Elephas maximus indicus: one gene and its partner. The protein of the gene in region 1 interacts with the protein of each later gene in a pairwise test. Links are inferred from orthologs where the notes say so. Each region holds a gene or a part of one and is shown on either strand. Other genes may lie near its edges.

Region 1 (9,044 bases):
CTTTTGTCAAAGTCAATGTGATACCAGGATGGGTATGTAAGAAGAACAAGAGTCAGCCTCTTGCCCCTGGGAAAAGACCCTAGGGACCCACACACTGATAAGCCCCATTTCCAAGGATGAAGGGGACACCGCCTGCAGCAGTGTGCTCCAGGGCTCATCCCCATTTCAGAGCCCACTGGACAAGTCCCACTGACAGGTAGGCAAAAACCAGGATAGAACACTGGGACCCGCAGGGGTCCATCCAGACTGTCCCTGTGGTCAGTGCACAAGGATCCACTGAGGGCAAGAGACACGGAACTGCGGTAATTCTGGGAATTGTGGGCCAAGGGTGAAGGAAGGAACAGCATCATGCCAGCCCCTCAGGGGGAAGCTGGAGAACATTTTTCAGGGGAGACAGTGATGAATCACCTTTCCAGAGCCTGCCCACTGCATGTCCTCTGATAATGTTTGTTAAATGAAGGGTCAAATGGGCAAAGGGTAGAACAGCTGTCTGGAAAGGAACAATCTTGGCCTCTACTTTCCCTCTCGTTCCTCGGATCCTTCTCATCAGCTCGAGGGTGTGTGTCACATCCTGAGTCACCATTCTGGCCTCGCATACACCACCTACCACACCTCATAAACCCCACCTCCAAGGATGAAGGGGAACCCTCCAGTAGCAGTGCACCCCAGTGCTCATCCCCATTTCAGAATCCACTGGACAAGTCCTGTGGCTCACAACAGAAAAAGAGAGCAGAGCACACAATCCTGGTAGAGACAGACCCCAGGAGCATTGGAGGAAATCTTGCCTTCCTCCCACACGCCATCACTCAAACCTGTCAGTTTCCAAAAATGTTTAGCAAGTGTAGCAGCAAGGGGCTTGCTTATCAGCCTGATGTGGGAGCTTAATCTGCTTTGAGGGCCTTCTCCAGCCCAGAGTTCCAGAAGTCTGCTTACAATTAGCCTCCAGCTCCAGTCCCTCCACCAGCAAGGCTAGGAATGTGTTGAGCTCTAGCCTCTGATCAGGGAAATCTCCAGGAGAAGGTGGAGACAGTGTCAGCACGCCAAAAAGGTCAGCTGGTCTGTTGCCACTACCCTGACACCAGCCCCAAACCACCTCCCCCTCTGGCTTTCCCGCCTCTCCTGACCGGGGACAGTCACATCCGTCAGGTTTGCCTGTCCCCAAAAGTCCCTGTTGACCGACTGCCAAGAAAACGCAACATGCCCTCACTCCCTCCTACTAGAACAGCGAAAAAAAGCAGTGGGGAGGGCAGGAGGCCAAGAGAACCGGATTGGCTCTTGCTGATTTCCTTAAAAGAGACTGCCTGGCCAGAGTCTGTCACCCGGCCGAACTGGGTGATGCGGGCTCTGTCTCGTAAGATAGAAGTCACCATCTCCCTTCAAACCATGTCCCCACCCCTGCCCGCAGCCATCCTGGCTACCAGCCCCAGGATCTACCACCCAGGAAGGAGGGGCTAAGCTGCCTAAGAATGGCGGCCACCCCTACCCCCACAGCCAGCCAAGAAGCTAGGAGTCTCCAGCTGCCTGTCTCAGCTGGTGGGTGCACTGGGCACTCATACTGCAGCCCCAGCACCGTGCCCGGAATTCTGTCAGCCCTAGGACAGGCAGGGGCAGGCCACCTTCAAGCCAAGTGGGAAGGTCCCCCCCGCCCCCACCAGGCCCTCTTTCCTGAATCTTGCAGCCAGGTGGAGGTGGGGGGGGGGGCGGGGAACGGTGGTTAGGGCGTTGAGCCCAACGGGAAAAGGGCAAGCCACCGGGTCTCAGACCATTCATTGACAGGGACAAAACCTCTGCGGAACCGACAGACAGACAGAACGACACACACACACACACACACACACACACACACACACACACACACACACACACACACACACACACACACACACACACACACACACACACACACACACACACACACACACACACACACACACACACACACACACACACACACACACACACACACACACACACACACACACACACACACACACACACACACACACACACACACACACACACACACACACACACACACACACACACACACACACACACACACACACACACACACACACACACACACACACACACACTCTGCCTTCTTGGAACCAAGCCTACAAACATATAGGACCTGACATTTCCAGTGAGGTACACGTTTCTTGAGAACACCCCGGCAGTGCCCACCAGAAGGAAGCCGCAGGCGTGGCCACACCGCGGGTCTCACGGATCTCCTTAGGCAAACCTTGAGCACCAGGGCCACACCCACCGGCCGGGCCACTCTTCTCGTGCATCCCAAACCTGCCGGCCTAAGGAAAACGGTTCCCCTCCCGACCCACAGGGTAGCCCTTTTCCCCATCAAGCTGTACCATCCACCCACCCCACCCCCAAAGTATTAACCCACCCTCCCAGATAAGTGCTGCGGCACGCAGCGCCTCTCACCTGGGTATCGAACCCGTTTTCCACGGAACCGCTTTTCCGCAGAGGGAGCCCCTCCCCCGCCGGCTCTTGCAGCCCCTGCGATTTCAGGGGAATCTGGCTAGGGTAGGCGGTCTTGCTCACCTCCACCTTGCTTCCCAACTTGAGGTAGCAGGGCTGGGGGCCGGCCCTGGCCGGGGGCACGTGCAGGATGGGTGCGGCGCTGTGCACCGGTTTGGGAAGTCCCGACTTCATTTTGGAGGCGACCAGGATGGCCGGCATCTTCTCCCGGGGCTTCGGTTTTCCCAGCACGTCCCTGGCAGCGGCGGCGGAGGCGACCGCTAAAGGCAGCGCGGGCAGCAGAGCAGGCGCCGGGCCTCGGCCCGCGAGGCGCCCACTACCAGCGGCGGAATAAAAAAGCCCCGGATCGGGAACTCGGAAGGGGCCGGCGAGCGTGCCTTCGGGGTGCCGGGATGAGAGCCCGGGACTAGTGACTGCGCTCAACGGACCCCACTTGGACCGATGCTGCAGCGGAGTCTCACGCCCTTCCTGGACAAGCCGCTCAAGAGCTCAGGGTGCTAGGAGGCTGCTGCCTCTTGCAATTTTCCTCCTGGGAAACCGAGGCTTGAACGCCCATATTATCTTGTCACTGCATCTCCGAATTGAGGAGGTCCCTTTGGAAGGGAGAAAGCGGCGAGGACGCACGCCTCCCGCTCCAGGAGGCTGCGGGTGTAAGCGGGCGAGGGAAGGAGCGAGTAGCGGAGGAAGGAGAGAAAAAAGGCGCACCGAGCCCAAGACGTCTCCACCAAAAGGTAGCTGCCGCCCCGCTCACGAGCACCGCAGTGTCACCGCGATGCAGAGGCGCGGCGACAGCTCCGGAAAGGTCTCTCTTGGCTTGACAGTCGGTCACCACTGCCCAGAAGCCCCCAGGACAGATAGCACCTTAGTGCCTGCGGGTCTGCACATGCTCGGTGCGCTATAGCGCAGCGAGGTTGTGGCAGTGGGGCGCGGGCACAGGGACGCGCGGCTGGCGGGCTGGGTAGGGCTGCACTCGCGAGCGGCCGCCGCGCTTCCCGGGAAGGTTGCGCTGGCTGCGAGGCTCCGCGCAGGGGAGGACAAGTCGCGGCCGGCGCGGCTGCAGCGCGCGCTGACAGCCCGGGCCGCCCCGGCGCGCCTATTGGTCGGCGGTGAGCCAATCATCGGCCGCAGCTCTCTCTGCAAAGGGGGCGTGGCCTCAACTCTGGGGTCGCCGCCGAAACTCTGGGGCCGCGCTTGGCCTCAAGTACAAAGCAGGCTGGTGGCTGCTCTGCGGCGCTGCTCCGGCGGCGCGCTTCCCGGCGGGCCGACACCCCCACTTCCCTGGAGCCTTATTTTGAAAAATGCCCTTTCGAACGCAAACGCCCGCCTTGGGGCCCTGCGGGTACCGCTCCGAGGAAGTGTGTTTGCCTTTTTCAAATTGCTCAGGTCATCGTAACGGTTAGAGGCTTCCGGAGTAACGCCAGCAGCCTCGCTGCCCCCCATCTGGCCTGGGTAGGGCCTCGCCTTGTCTCCCGCGTAAAGGACGCGCCAGCCGTTTCGCCTCTTTTCTGCCTGCTCTTCCAGGCGGGCCGGGGGGCCTCCCAATAGCTTCCTCTCCAGCTTTCAAAGGCTGCACATTTCACTTAACTATTTGAAGTATTTATAGGCAAATACAATACCCAGAGAAGCCTCCCGTCCCCAGACAACTCCTCCTCACAACCTACCACAGACTCTGTAATTACAGTGGCCTGAGGAAGCCAGGAGAAGGCTCAATGGCCCTAGCAGGCTCTAGCTAAACCAGGCTGCGTTTCATGTCGGAGCCCCTCCCTGTCCGCGCTTCGGACGCACGGGCCCCACAGGTTCCCCGGCTTTAATGCACCTTAGGATTTCTCCCCTAGTCTCAGTCTTGGTAGCTCTGGGTTCCTTGCTGAGTCAAAATATGTGAAAACTGGAAAGGAACTGAGTAATTCAGGCAGGCCAGAGCCCTCCAGATTCACCTACCCGCCCCCCCGACTTCCCCACCCCCGTAGAACTGCCTGGATTTGAATTGGACACGTTCTTTTAACCTTATATGCATTCTTATAAAGCTCTGGTTTTCACATGTAGTTAGGTGGAGGTTTGAGTGCATGTGCAGTTGTTTGGATTAAATGAGATAGTACACATGGCAGTCTTTTAGCATCAAAAACAAACCCAAACCCATTGCCCTCCAAGCAGAAAACTGCCCCATAGGGTTTCCAAGGAGTGGCTGGTGGATTCAAACTGCCAACCTTTTGGTTAGCAGCCAGTCTCTCAACCACGGGGCCACTTAAGCTCCCTTTTAGCACTCATGCCTGGCAATATATTGTTGCCGTTGTGTACCACTGAGTTAATTCCAACTCATAGCAACCATACAGGACAGAGCAGAACTGCCCCATAGGGTTTCCAAGGAGCAGCTGACGGATTACAACTGCTGACCTTTTGGTTAGCAGCCAAGCTCTTAACCACTGTGCCACCAGGACTCTACAATGTTGATAGTATTGATTTATAATTATCCACACCATAGGAAACTTCAAAGTGTAAAACAACCTCTGCAGCATCAAGAAATGAGAAGTTGCCTTCTTACCCTGGCTTGCTCCCTCTGCCACCTTACCTCCCACCCATGCTGTGTACAAACTTTATACTCTAGCTAGGCTGGAATGTGCAGCCCTGTGTATAAGCTGGAGCCCTGGTGGCACAGTGGTCAAGCCCTTGCTGATAACCAAAAAGTTGGGGGTCTGACCCCATCAGCCACTCCATGGGAGTAAGATATGGCAGTCAGCTTCCATAGAGATTACAGTCTTGGAAATCCTATGGGGCAGTTCTACCCTGTCTAATAGGGTCACTATGAGTTGGAATCAACTTGACGGCAATGGGTTTGATTTGGTTTTTTTGTCTCAGGTATCCTTTCTCCCTCTGAAGTTAAATCACACGTGATTTCTGTCACTGATTTAACACTCTGCCCCTTGCCATTAGATGCCACTTCCTGAACTATTGTCTTGCTTTATTTAACTCTTGTTATTTACTGTTTCATTTGTTTCTTTGTTTTCTTCTTAATTAAAGAATAAGCCTCTGGAAGTTAGGGACTGGGCCTTAACTCTCTTTAGATTCTCCAAGCCTGGAGTATAATGCTGTGAACAGAATAGCTACCCAAATTGTTACTGAGTGAATGAATGATGCCGGCACCTGTTCTGAACAAGGGTAGTTGTCTTTTAGATTCAGGACCAAAAAGTCATAAGAAGTATCTCATTATATTAAATCTGGGGACTCTCCTGCCCAGAATTCTGGCTCTGACAGATGTCCCAAGAGTTAGGGAAAGATATTGCTGTCTTCAACACTTCAGCTTCTAAACGTCAAGGAGAGATTTCAAAGCATTCCCTTGCTCCTAATTCAGTGGTTCTCAAAGCCTGGTCCCTGGCTGACCAGCAGCAGCAGCATTTGGAAACTTGCTAGAAAAGCCCTACTCCAGACCTGTTTTTGTTGAATTCATTGCCATTTTCCACAGCTGTAATCTTTACAGAAGCAGACTGCCACATCTTTCTCCAACAGAGTGGCTGGTAGGTTTGAACCACTGACCTTTTGGTTAGCAGCTGAGAGCTTAACCACTGTACCAGCAGGGCTCCTTTTGTTGTTGTTAGGTGTCATCCAGTCAATTTTCAACTCATAGTGAGTCCACGTGACAGAGTAGAACTGACCCATAGGGTTTTCTATAATCTTTATGGGAGGTGTCCTGGTGGGGCAATGGTTAAGTGTTTGCCTATTGTTAAAGCCATCCACTTGTGGTATTTCTGTTATAGCAACACTAGATAATTAAGAAAGAATCTGGTACCAAGAGTGGGGTGTTGCTCTAACAGATACCTAAAACGTGGAAGCAGCTTTATAATTGGGTGATGGGTAAAGGATGGAAGAGTTTTAAAGCCCTAATATCAAAAGCCTCGATTGCCCTGAAGAGATTATTGGTGGAATTATGGACATCAAAGATAATTCTGGTGAGGGCTCAGATGGAAGTGAGGAGAGCTGTAACACCGGGAATGGCAAAGACAGCAAGAAGAAGCAGCAGAGAAACAGTGGCAGCAGAACCAGGAGACTGGTATTAGCACAGGAGCCAACCCATGGAGCAAGAAAGCTGAGCGCCTAGAGGCAGGAGGCTAGCTGGTGGACTGGGGTGCCTCCAGGTACTTATCTGTAGAGCTAAAGAACATTGTAACACTTGCCAGAGCAGGGCAGAGGCCAGGCCAACCTGAAGGGGCAAGGGGCTGAGAAGCTAAGGAACCAAGAAGCAGAAGCTAAAGAGATAAGGAGCATGGGAAGCAGAGGTACCTCAGTCTCAAAGGGTAGGGCCATGACCTTTTGGGGTCTCAAAGAATGGTGCCATGGTCTCCTAGGTTTCAAAGAGTCAGATCATCACCAATTTGGTTCTGGAGCATGGGGCTGCAGTTCATGAATGCCAGGGAAATGGGGCCAGAACTACTGTTCAAAGCTGAGGGGGTAGGGCTGCCATGCCCAAGGGGCAGAAGTTGGACTGCAAGGAGCTGCCCAAATCTGAGGAAGCAGAGTTTCTGTCCAAGTGGGCCTGGAAGGCAGAGCTGAAGCCCAGGGACAAAGAGCCATTACCCAGAGCCTGAAGGGCAGAGCCATTGCCTAAATGATCCTAGAGAAGAGGATTATTTTCAAGCCTTGACAGGTAATTTAATGTGTTCTGCTGGGTTTTGAACTTGCTTGGTACCTGTTATCCCTTTTTTCCTCCCAATTTCTACCATTTATAATGGAAATGTCTACCTTGTGCCTATTCTACCATTGAACTTTGGAAGTAGATAACCTGTATTCTAGACTTCACAGGTGAAGAGGAATTTTACCCCAGGATGGAATTTGGACTTGGAGTTGATTTAAGACTTAGGGATAATATGATGGGATGAATGTGTTTTACATGTGGCAAGGTCATGAATTTTGGGGGCGGGGGGGTCAAAGGATGGAATGTTATGGATTGAATTGTGTCCCCCAAAAATGTGTGTCAGTTTGATTCCCAATATTGTGAGGTTGTTCTCCATTTTGTAATTTGATGTAATTATCCCATATGTTGTAAATCCTAACCTCTATGATGTTATTAAGGCAGGATTAGAGGCAGTTATATTAATGAGGCAGGGCACAATCTACAGGATTAAGTTGTATATTGAGTCAATCTCTTTTGAGATATAAAAGAGACAAGGGAACAGAGAGACAGGGGGACCTCAAACCACCAAGAAAGAAGAGCCAGGAGTACAGCATGTCGCTTGGACCGAGGGTCCTTGAGCTTAGAAGCTCCTAGACCAGGGGAAGATTGATGACAAGGACCTTCCCCCAGAGCTGACAGAGAGACACAGCCTTCCCCTGAAGCTGGTGCCCTCCATTTCGGCTTCTGGCCTCCTAAACTGTGAGAGCTCCTAACCAAAAAGCTGGCAGTTGGAAATTGTAACCCACCTAGTGGCTCTGCAGGAGAAAGACCTGGCAATCTATAAAGATTGTTGTTGTTTGGTGTCCTGGAGTCAATTTTGACTCATAGCAACCCCACGTGACACAGCAGAACTGCCCCACAGGATTTTCTTGTCTTAAATCTTTATGAGAATAGGTTACCAAGTCTTTCTCCTGCAGAGCTACTGGGTGGGTTCCAGCTGCCAACCTTTCATTAGCAGTTGAGCTGTTAACCATTGCGCCACCAGGACTCCTTTTACCCCAGACCTAGAGAGTTAAAACCTGAGGGTGGGGCCAGCAATCTGTGCTTCAATGAGTGTTTAACCTGGTGATTCTGATGCATACTAAAGTTTGAGAACTTCTGCCGTAATGAATATATATCATGCACTCCCTGGGCTTCTTAAGCCTTAATGTCTGTGTGAATCACTGGGGATGTTATTACAATTCAGATTCTGCTTCAGCAGGTATGGAATGAGGCAGAGATTCTGCATTCTGCAGGACGTCCATGCTGGTGATGTGTAGATCACACTGTTAAGTAGTAAGGCTAAGCCATAGGTAGCAAAAGGGTTTCATCTGTGGCTAATTAGTAGTAACTTTCTGTAGCACTGTGCTGAAAAGGATTCTGGGGATGCATCTACCTAGTTTAATTGGTAATAGTTGCTTGATCCATTAATAATATCTGCCATGGGTACAAAAGGGAAATGGTGACGTACATGCTATGTATTTGCAATCTTTGATTTTGCATTTAAATTGTATTTGCTACAAGGTAATTCTCTGAGTTCTAAGACCTTCGAATATGTACTACCATGAAAAACAGTGCTAACATGAAAAACTAATAAAAAATTACTTTCTTTGTATTAAAGATACTTTTTAATATTGTAAGATTTGGTGACCTTATGAGCGCTCACTTTAACGCTGTGATTTATACACCTAAGGTCTATATAATTTCCCACCTTTATTGATCAATAAAGGAGCCCTGGTGATGTACTGATTAAAGTACTTGGCTGCTAACTGAAAGGTAAGTGGTTCAAATCCACCAGCCACTCCATGGGAGAAAGATATGGCAGTCTGCTTCTGTGAAGGTTATAGCCTTAGAAACCCTATCGGGCAATTCTACTCTGTCCTACAAGGTTGCTATGAGTCCA
Region 2 (8,823 bases), on another chromosome or scaffold:
AAGAAGATTCTTCTTTAGTTAGGGAGTTCAACACCACGAGGCCCAAAGATACTACCTAAATTTCTAAGCTAGGGACGTAATTTAAAATGAGAACACTTTTTGAAAGGAAAGAAAAAAGTATCCAAGTATTTCGAAAAGAAAAGAGCAGATGATGGTTATGAAAATTTGTAGTAAAAACCCAAGAAGCGAAAGGTGATTGACAACGTATCAGCATGCTCTCTAAGCCCCTGTACGTGCCATCCCCACAGCCTAGGCCAGGCAGCAGCACCCTCCCCGAGCTCCACCCCCAAAGCCCTCTGCCATCCCCAGTCCCTCCCCACGCCTCTGTGCGCTGCCTTGGCGGCCTTGAGGCCCAGCTGTCAGAGTCCAGCTCCCAGCTGCACAGCAGGCCTGCACCCACCTTCCGTCCTCTGGTCCAGCTCACGCATCAGCTGGAAGTTCCTCTGAAGCTCACAGGGAAGGTTCTCGATACCTGAAACACCAAGACAGGAGGCTCCGTGTGAGTCTCAATAGCAGGACCAAGACCTGCCCACAAGGTTCTACAGCCATTCCCGTCTGTTTTGTTGGGGTTTCGGAAAGAGAAGGATGAAAATCTCTTTTTCAGGAACAGGCACCAAACACTGCTGGCAGAGGCTGACACTTGTCAGAAATAGAGAAGTTAGCAGTGACGCAGATACGAGTTGAAAGCAGGGCAAGGAAGACAGCCCATTGGCCAAACCCATCACAGCCCATGGACCTGCCATCACCCCTGGACCTGGCCGTCGCCCCCGGACCTGCCGTTGCCCCCCGACCTGCTGTCGCCCCCTGACCCGGCATGCTCCGTGATATGCCCTTCACTTTCCTGAGACCCTGGGCATAGGCAGGTGCAGACCACCACTGCCAAGAGAATTCCTACAAGGAGGGAATGCTCTCTCTGAACTGCCTGGCACAGCAGCTACTGAGCACTTAAAATGTGGCTAGTGCACTGGGGAAATGAAGCGTTAGGTTTACTTAATGATAATTAAGGTTAGATGGTTCTTGAGGCTGGGGGCTACAATACTAGACCACGCAGGTCAGAGGACCCCACTCTTCAGCTTTTGGGCCAGCGTGCCCACCAGCCTGTGTGCCCCCCGACGCATCCCCCTCTGCCCCAGCCTCTCTGCTCCCACTGTGCCCCCACAGGCCTATGCATTCCCATATACATCCCCCCACGTGTCCCCCGACGTGTCCCCCTCCACGCCCCGCTACACATCCCCCTCCACCCCAGCCTCTCTGCTCCCACAGTGCCCCCACAGACCTACATATCCCCCTCCACATCCTCCCTAAACATGCCCCTACATCCCACCCTCTGTTCCCACCACACCAGTCTGTCCAACGACCCAGGCTCCTGAGCTCCACACTGCAGGACGGGCCACCACACCATACTCTCCCACCTGCTGGTTCCCTGTAGCCTTGTAGGTTCTGCGAATTTTAAAGCCCCGTCCTACCCATGTGGGAGAAGTTCCAGGAGCACAAGGCCATGTCTGTTTTCAGGGCTTCCCGGCCCCCACCTGGCACAGCGCACCATGGTGCCCAGGAGGGGAACAGGGGCAACTGTCCCTGTACCCACGCAGGGGAGGCACACGTGTCCCCAAGCCCTCTGAGTACCTGCTGTACCCACTGGGCAGGACCGGGATACAGAGGAGGACACCATGCTCCCCTTCAGACGCCAGGCTGCTCCTGGGCCATGGCCGGCTCTGCTCACTGGCTCCACTGTCTTTAGTGATGACAGGGTAAAAGCATCCCGTCACCATGCTCCCCATTCTGTCTCTCCCACATGGGGACTCCCACTGCTCAGGGGGCAGAAGAAAAACCCATTGCTGTTGAGTCGTTTACGACTCATAGCTACCCTAAAGAACAGACAAGAAGGGCCCCATAGGGTTTTTTAAGGAGCAGCTGGTGGTTTTGAACTGGCAACCTTTTGGTTGGCAGCCGAGCTCTTAACCACTGCGCCACCAGGGAGCAGAATGAACAGTGTGGATTGGGCATTCCCACTGTTGCCAGTTAGGGGCACATGGCTCACTGACTCCTCTGAGCAAGCTCAGTAGGGCTCCCAAGTCCCCAGGCCAGCGAGGCTGTCAGAGTCCCCAGGGCAGCACTCCCAAAGGAGATGGTCTTACCAGACCACCTGAAAGACTGGCCAGCTCAGCCCCCACCCAGCCCCAAGGAAATCACCTGCCCCATAGTCACTAAATTCAAACATGGGTTCTGCCACTCAGCTTGCTGTGGGACCTTGTGCAAGTGACCACCCTCTCTGAGCCTCAGTTTCCTCAACTGCAAAATGGGGATACTTCCGCGAGAAGTCTGTTGCTTCGTGTAATGCAGACAAAAGGCAGCCAAGCATTGGGAGACTCGGCACGCATCGCACATTAGGACACCCGTCGTGATTCTTACCACTTTACCAAGCTCAGTAAGGCATGAGAGCATTCTGATCGTGGAACCACGTGCAACTTAATAAAGAAAGGGAACCGATACAACTCACCAAACCAGCGTCCCTATCCCCATTGTGCCGATGCAGAAACTGAGACTGGGCGCTGTCAAGGGGGCCGCAGGTCCCAGGACACATAGGGACACAACTCAGACCCGGGGCCCCGCAGGCCTGGTCTGCTCCACTGTACCACCGACCACCACTGGCCCTGGCCCTGCTCAGCCCTGCCCACGGAACAAGAACAGGACCCAGAAGCATCTGGCCCGGCTCCACCCACGAGACTCCACTGTGTCATAAGGCCGCGCCCATCCGGCAGAACCCACCTAGTCATCCAATTTTCGTCCAGTCCTCCAGAACCCAAAATGGACCCACTGTTCAGGCCCTGTTCACCTTACCTAGCCCCTCTATTCAGACCCCACACCACCCACCTTCCCCTTATCAGGCCCCGCCCATCTTGCCCTGCCCCTCCATCCAGACCCCGCCACGCCCACCTGGCCCCACTATTCATGCCCCGCCCCTCCATCCAGACCCCGCCACGCCCACCTGGCCCCACTATTCATGCCCCGCCCCTCCATCCAGACCCCGCCACGCCCACCTGGCCCCACTATTCATGCCCCGCCCCTCCATCCAGACCCCGCCACGCCCACCTGGCCCCACTATTCATGCCCCGCCTCTCCATCCAGACCCCACCACGCCCACCTGGCCCCACTATTCATGCCCCGCCCCTTCATCCAGCCCCCGCCACGCCCACCCTACCAGCTATTCAGGCCCCGCCCATCTCGCCCCGTCCCCCATCCAGACCCCGCCACGCCCACCTGGCCCCACTATTCATGCCCCGCCCCTTCATCCAGCCCCCGCCACGCCCACCCTACCAGCTATTCAGGCCCCGCCCATCTCGCCCCGTCCCCCATCCAGACCCCGCCACGCCCACCTGGCCCCACTACTCATCCCCCGCCCCGCCGCCCAGGCCCCGCCCGGCCCCGGGTATTCAGGCCCCGCCCCGTCATCCGAGCCCCCTCCTGCCCGCCCGGCCCCGGCATTGAGGCCCCGCCCCACGGTCCGGCCCCGCCCCTCACGCCGGCCCCGCCCCGCCCGCCGTGACGCACCTGGAATTCGCGCGGACCCGGCCGCCCGCCCTCCCCGCGCCCCGCCCCCGCGCGTGCCCGGCGCCCCCACCGCCCCGGCCGCCCTCACGGGAACCCCCGCCGCCCGCCGCGCAAGGCCCGCCGTGCGGGGGAACTGGGCGGCGACGGCGCCAGATGGCGGGGCGGGCCGGGGCGGCCGGCCGCGCGCTTACTGTCCAGGTAGTGCTCCAAGTACATGGCGGTCGCCATCTTCTCCGCGCCGCGCTCGGCTCTGCGCGGGCGGGCGGTGCCGGCGTGAGGGGGCGGGGCGCGCCGTGCTTCACTATTCATAAGGCCGCGCGCTGATTGGCGGGCGCCGGCGGAGGGGCGGGACGGACCCGGAGCCCGCCCCTCGGCTTCCGCCCAGCGGAGCGAGCGTGTGCTGATGTCTGCGGGGAGGCGCGGGGCGGGGGGACCTGGGTCGGGGGACGAGGGTGGGGGCCTGGGGTCAGGGGGACCCGGGGACAAGGGTGGGGGCCCTGGGGTCAGGGGGACGCGGGGACGAGGGTGGGGGCCCTGGGGTCAGGGGGACGCGGGGACGAGGGTGGGGGCCCTGGGGTCAGGGGGACGCGGGGACGAGGGTGGGGGCCCTGGGGTCAGGGGGACGCGGGGACGAGGGTGGGGGCCTGGGGTCAGGGGGACGAGGGTGGGGGGCCTGGGGTCAGGGGGACGCGGGGACGAGGGTGCGGGGCCTGGGGTCAGGGGGACGCGGGGACGAGGGTGGGGGCCCTGGGGTCAGGGGGACGCGGGGACGAGGGTGGGGGCCTGGGGTCAGGGGGACGAGGGTGGGGGGCCTGGGGTCAGGGGGACGCGGGGACGAGGGTGGGGGCCCTGGGGTCAGGGGGACGCGGGGACGAGGGTGCGGGGCCTGGGGTCAGGGGGACGCGGGGACGAGGGTGGGGGCCCTGGGGTCAGGGGGACGCGGGGACGAGGGTGGGGGCCCTGGGGTCAGGGGGACGCGGGGACGAGGGTGGGGGGCCTGGGGTCAGGGGGACGCGGGGACGAGGGTGGGGGGCCTGGGGTCAGGGGGACGCCGGACCACGGACAGGAAGGGCGCGGGGACAGGGGTGCGTTCGGAGCCACCTCGGAGGCTGCACGTGCGTCCTCGCTGTCCGCTCTCGGGACTCAGTGAGCCCGCGCTCCGTCCTCGCCGTCCGCGCTGGGGGTTCAGTGAGCCCGCGCTCCGTCCTCGCCGTCTGCGCTCGGGGCTCAGTGAGTCCGCGCTCCGTCCCCCTGTCCGCGCCGTTCGCCCTCGGGGTTCAGCCCGGCTCCGTCCCCCGTCCTTGGCGTCCGCGCTCGGGCTTCAGTGAGCCCGGCTCTGTCCTCGCCATCCGCGCTCGGGGCTCAGTGAGCCCGCGCTCGGTCCCTCCGTCCTCGCCTCACGGCTCCCATCACGGCTTGTCGTCAGAATCCATCAGAAGCCGCGGCGCTCACCGCAGCCCAGCCTGGGCTCTGCGTGGCCCCCAGCCGGCAGCGTGCAGGCGTCCAGCTTCGTATCCCTGGGAGGCCGACGGCGCATGTGTCCCCATTGGCTCCCCGCTGACCTTCACCCCCCACCACAACATTGCCTCGGCCAGGCCCTTCCTGACCCCTCCGCTGCCAATAGCGCCCACCCCAGGGCATCCAATCGGTGGATTCGCTTTCCCCTACCGCTGCCGGTCACTGGAGAGGAGCCCTGCGACCCGCGCTGCGCGCGCCTGGGGCACACCAGGCGCCATGTAACAATGGGATACAAGGTTAACCGGGTAGAACGCTGCACAGAAGTGAAGCGGAAGCACGTGTCAAGACCCTGAGAGACAATGAAAATGCCCTGAGAGGTTGGGTTCAGGGTGCTGCTTTTCTGTGTCTGCGCTTTGTGCTGTCATCCTGGTTGCTGCTCACCAGGTTCCACGTTTCTCCTCTTTCTGGCCGCACGCAGACCGCCTCAGTTGGGCTGCCCAACCGACTGGGGGCCAAACACCATGAGAGAAGCCCTGCATGGCCTGCCTGCTGGTGTAAGCTCTCCTCACTCAGATTGGCCAGAGGTAGAGAATGCCTGCAGGCTCCGGGGAAAGGTGACCACTGGATGGGAGAGCTGGCGGCAAGGCGGCATCCCCCAGCCCTCATCACTGTGGAGCCAAGATGACAGCACAGGGCTTCCAACTGGTTCCTTCTCTTTTCTAGGCAATGCGAATAACGCCGCTGGTTAGGGACCGATTCTGAGAACCACTGGTAGAGCAGTGGTTCTAAAAATTTATTATACATAAAAATCAGCTGGGGGTCTTATTAAAATGTAGATTCTGATTCAGTTTATGGGGGCGTGGAAATGCAAATTCTCAGCAGGAGCGTGAACCCAAACTAACTAGTGTAAAGCCCTGTCTTACAGTTGTTGGCTGTTCAAGTCACCACAACCTGACCAATGCAAATTCCATTACTTAAAGCATTTTTTTATTTATTTTTGGTACAATGGATGAGAGCTCAGGCTGCTAACCAAAAGGTTGGCAGTTCGAACCCACCAGCTGCTTCTTGGAAACACCATAGGGCAGTTGTACCCTGTCCTGTAAGATCGCTGTGAGTCAGAATCGACTCAACGACAACAGGTTTGGATTTTGGTTAAGTGAGTTTACATAGCAAATTGATTTCTCATTGAACAATTTATGCACAAATTGTTTTGTGACATTGGTTGCAGTCCCCACGAGGTGTTAACGCTCTCCCCTTCTCCACCCCAGGTGCCCCGTGTCCATTCCTCTCCTTTTCCTGTCCCTGCCTTCTTGCGCAGCATTTGGGCAGGTGTTGCCCATTTGGTCTCATTTACATGATTCAGCTAAGAAGCACATTCTCACGTGTGCTATTATTTTATTTTATACACCTGTATCTGAGTTAAAAGAGTGTCTGGGGGCCATAGTCTCAGGGTTCCTCCAGTCTCTGTCAGACCAGTAAGCCTGGTCTTTGTGTCTGTGTGTGTCTGTGTGTGTCTGTGTGTGTGAATTTGAATTTTGTTCTACATTTTTCTCCTACTCTGTCTGGGGCCCCCTACTGTGATCCCTGTCAGAGGGGTCAGTGGTGGTAACCGGGCATCATCTAGTTGTTCTGGGTTCAGGCTGGTGAAAGCTATGGTACTTGTGGTCCATTGGTCCTTTGGAGTAACATTTCCCACACATCTTTGGTTTTCTTCACTCTCCTTTGCTCCAGACGGGATGGATAAAGCATAATTTTAGAGCTACATTCCCCTTTGTTAACCATCCTCCAAGCCACGGGCAAATACTGAAAAATAGAAACATGTTGTTTTTGCCAATTTTACACTCTTATGAAAGTTCAAACCATATAAGAACTTATAAAAGTTTCCCCACTTGAGGGCACAGGACTGTGATTGTTTTGTTTGCCTTTTTTACTCCAGGTGTTAGCAGTTCAGAGTGAATCCTTTGTGGACCCATTTAATACTGGATGAGGAAGCACACACACACAGGTGTGCATTTTCAACAGAAACATGATTGTACACAGCTGCTTCTCTCCTACTTAAATTTATAACTTACTACTCTGACAGAAGACCTGGTGGTGTAGTGGTTAAGTGCTACGGCTCCGAACCAAAGGGTCAGCAGTTCGAATCTACCAGGCGCTCCTTGGAAACTCTATGGAGTGGTTCTACCCTGTCCTATAGGGTCGCTATCAGTCAGAACCAACTCGACGGCACTGGGCTTGGTTGGTTTACCACTCTGACATGAACAAGTGTCCCCAAGCCTTACTCAATTCTACCTCGTCCTGTTTGCTAGGTATATTCAATGCTGTTGGTGGACCATACTTTATTTTGCACACTCCTGATCAATGAACAATGTTGTGTTTCCAGTTTTTCATAAGCAGTGCCCCAGTGAACATTATGTACCACAGCTGTATGTATTTGTCGGCTCCAGTCACGTATTGCTTTATAACAGACTACCTGAAAACTTGGTGGTTGGAACCACCATTCTGTTTCAGTGTTATGAGGAGTTCCAGCGTGGCTCAGCAGGGTGATTCTTCTGTTCTCTGTGACATGACAGAGAAGGCTGGAAGGCTGGTCCAACTGGGACTGTGAACCAGAGCGCCTGCACACAGCCTCTCTGGCATAGCCAAGTCAGGCGATAGGACTTCTAACATGACCATTCAGGGTTTCCAGAGTTCCAAGAGACCCTCATAGAAGCTTCAAAACTCTTACGACCTTGCCTAGGAAGTCCCAAGACATTGCATCCTCTACATTCTATTATCAAACAAAGAATTGGACCAACGAGATCCCGGGGGAATTAGACCCCAACTCTCAATGGGAAGAAAACCAAGGATTTCCTGCCATCTTTAATTTATCACATTGTCTAATTAGTTCTTTAGAATAAATTCTTAGAAATGGTATTGCTAGCTCAAAGGGTACTGTTGTTGTTAGGTGCCATTGGTTGGTTCCAATTCATAGCGACCCCATGCACAACAGAACGAAACACTGCCCAGTCTTTCACCATCCTCACAATTGTTGCTAGGTTTAAGCCTGTCGTTGCAGCTACTGTGTCAGTCCATTTCCTTGAAGCCTTCTTCTTTTTCAATGACCCTGTACCAAGCATGATGTCCTCCAGGGACTATTCCCTTCTGATAACCTGTCCAAAGTAAGCGAGACAAAGTCTCACTATACTTGCTTCTAAGGAGCATTCTGGTTGTACTTCTTCCAAGACGTATTTGTTCCTTCTTCTAGTAGTCCCTGGTATATTCAAAACTCTTTGCTAACGCCATAATTCAAATACGTCAATTCTTCAGTCTTCCTTATTCATTGTCCAGTCTTCACATGCATATGAGATGATTGAAGGTACCATGCATTGGGTAAGACACACCTTAGTCCTCAAGGTGACATCTTTGCTTTTTAACACTTTAAAGAGGTCTTTTGCAGCAGATTTGCCCAATGCAATACATTATTTGATTTCTTGACTGCTGCTTCCATGGGCGTTGATTGTTGTTGTTGTTAGATGCCATCGAGTCAGTTCCGACTCATAGCAACCCTGTGTACCGCAGAACAAAACACTGCCTGGTCCTGTGCCATCCATACTATCATGGTTATGTTTGAGCCCATTGTTGTAGCCACTGTGTCAATCCATTTCCTTGGGGGTCTTCCTCTTTTCTGCTGACCCTGTACTTTACCAAGCATGATGTCCTTCTCCAGGGACTGATCCCTCCTGACAAAGTGTCCAAAGTATGTAAGACATAGTCTCGCCATCCGTGCTTCTAAGGAGCATTCTGGTTGTACTTTTTCCAAGAGAGATTTGT

What was found.
Region 2: the proteins of NAV2 (region 1) and ING5 interact in binary tests that used the Homo sapiens proteins (3 or more experiments, as listed by UniProt). The two-hybrid records come from large-scale screens. The link is inferred for Elephas maximus indicus from reciprocal best matches to the Homo sapiens genes NAV2 and ING5.

What each region holds. Positions count from the first base shown.
Region 1 is NC_064825.1:74,992,996-75,002,039, reverse strand, and holds the start of NAV2 (neuron navigator 2), read right to left. Parts: upstream 3,526-9,044; 5' UTR 2,701-3,525; coding exon 2,443-2,700; intron 1-2,442. UniProt on the Homo sapiens protein: Possesses 3' to 5' helicase activity and exonuclease activity. Involved in neuronal development, specifically in the development of different sensory organs.
Region 2 is NC_064824.1:143,514,312-143,523,134, reverse strand, and holds the start of ING5 (inhibitor of growth protein 5), read right to left. Parts: upstream 3,813-8,823; 5' UTR 3,781-3,812; coding exon 3,744-3,780; intron 473-3,743; coding exon 401-472; intron 1-400. UniProt on the Homo sapiens protein: Component of the HBO1 complex, which specifically mediates acetylation of histone H3 at 'Lys-14' (H3K14ac) and, to a lower extent, acetylation of histone H4. Component of the MOZ/MORF complex which has a histone H3 acetyltransferase activity.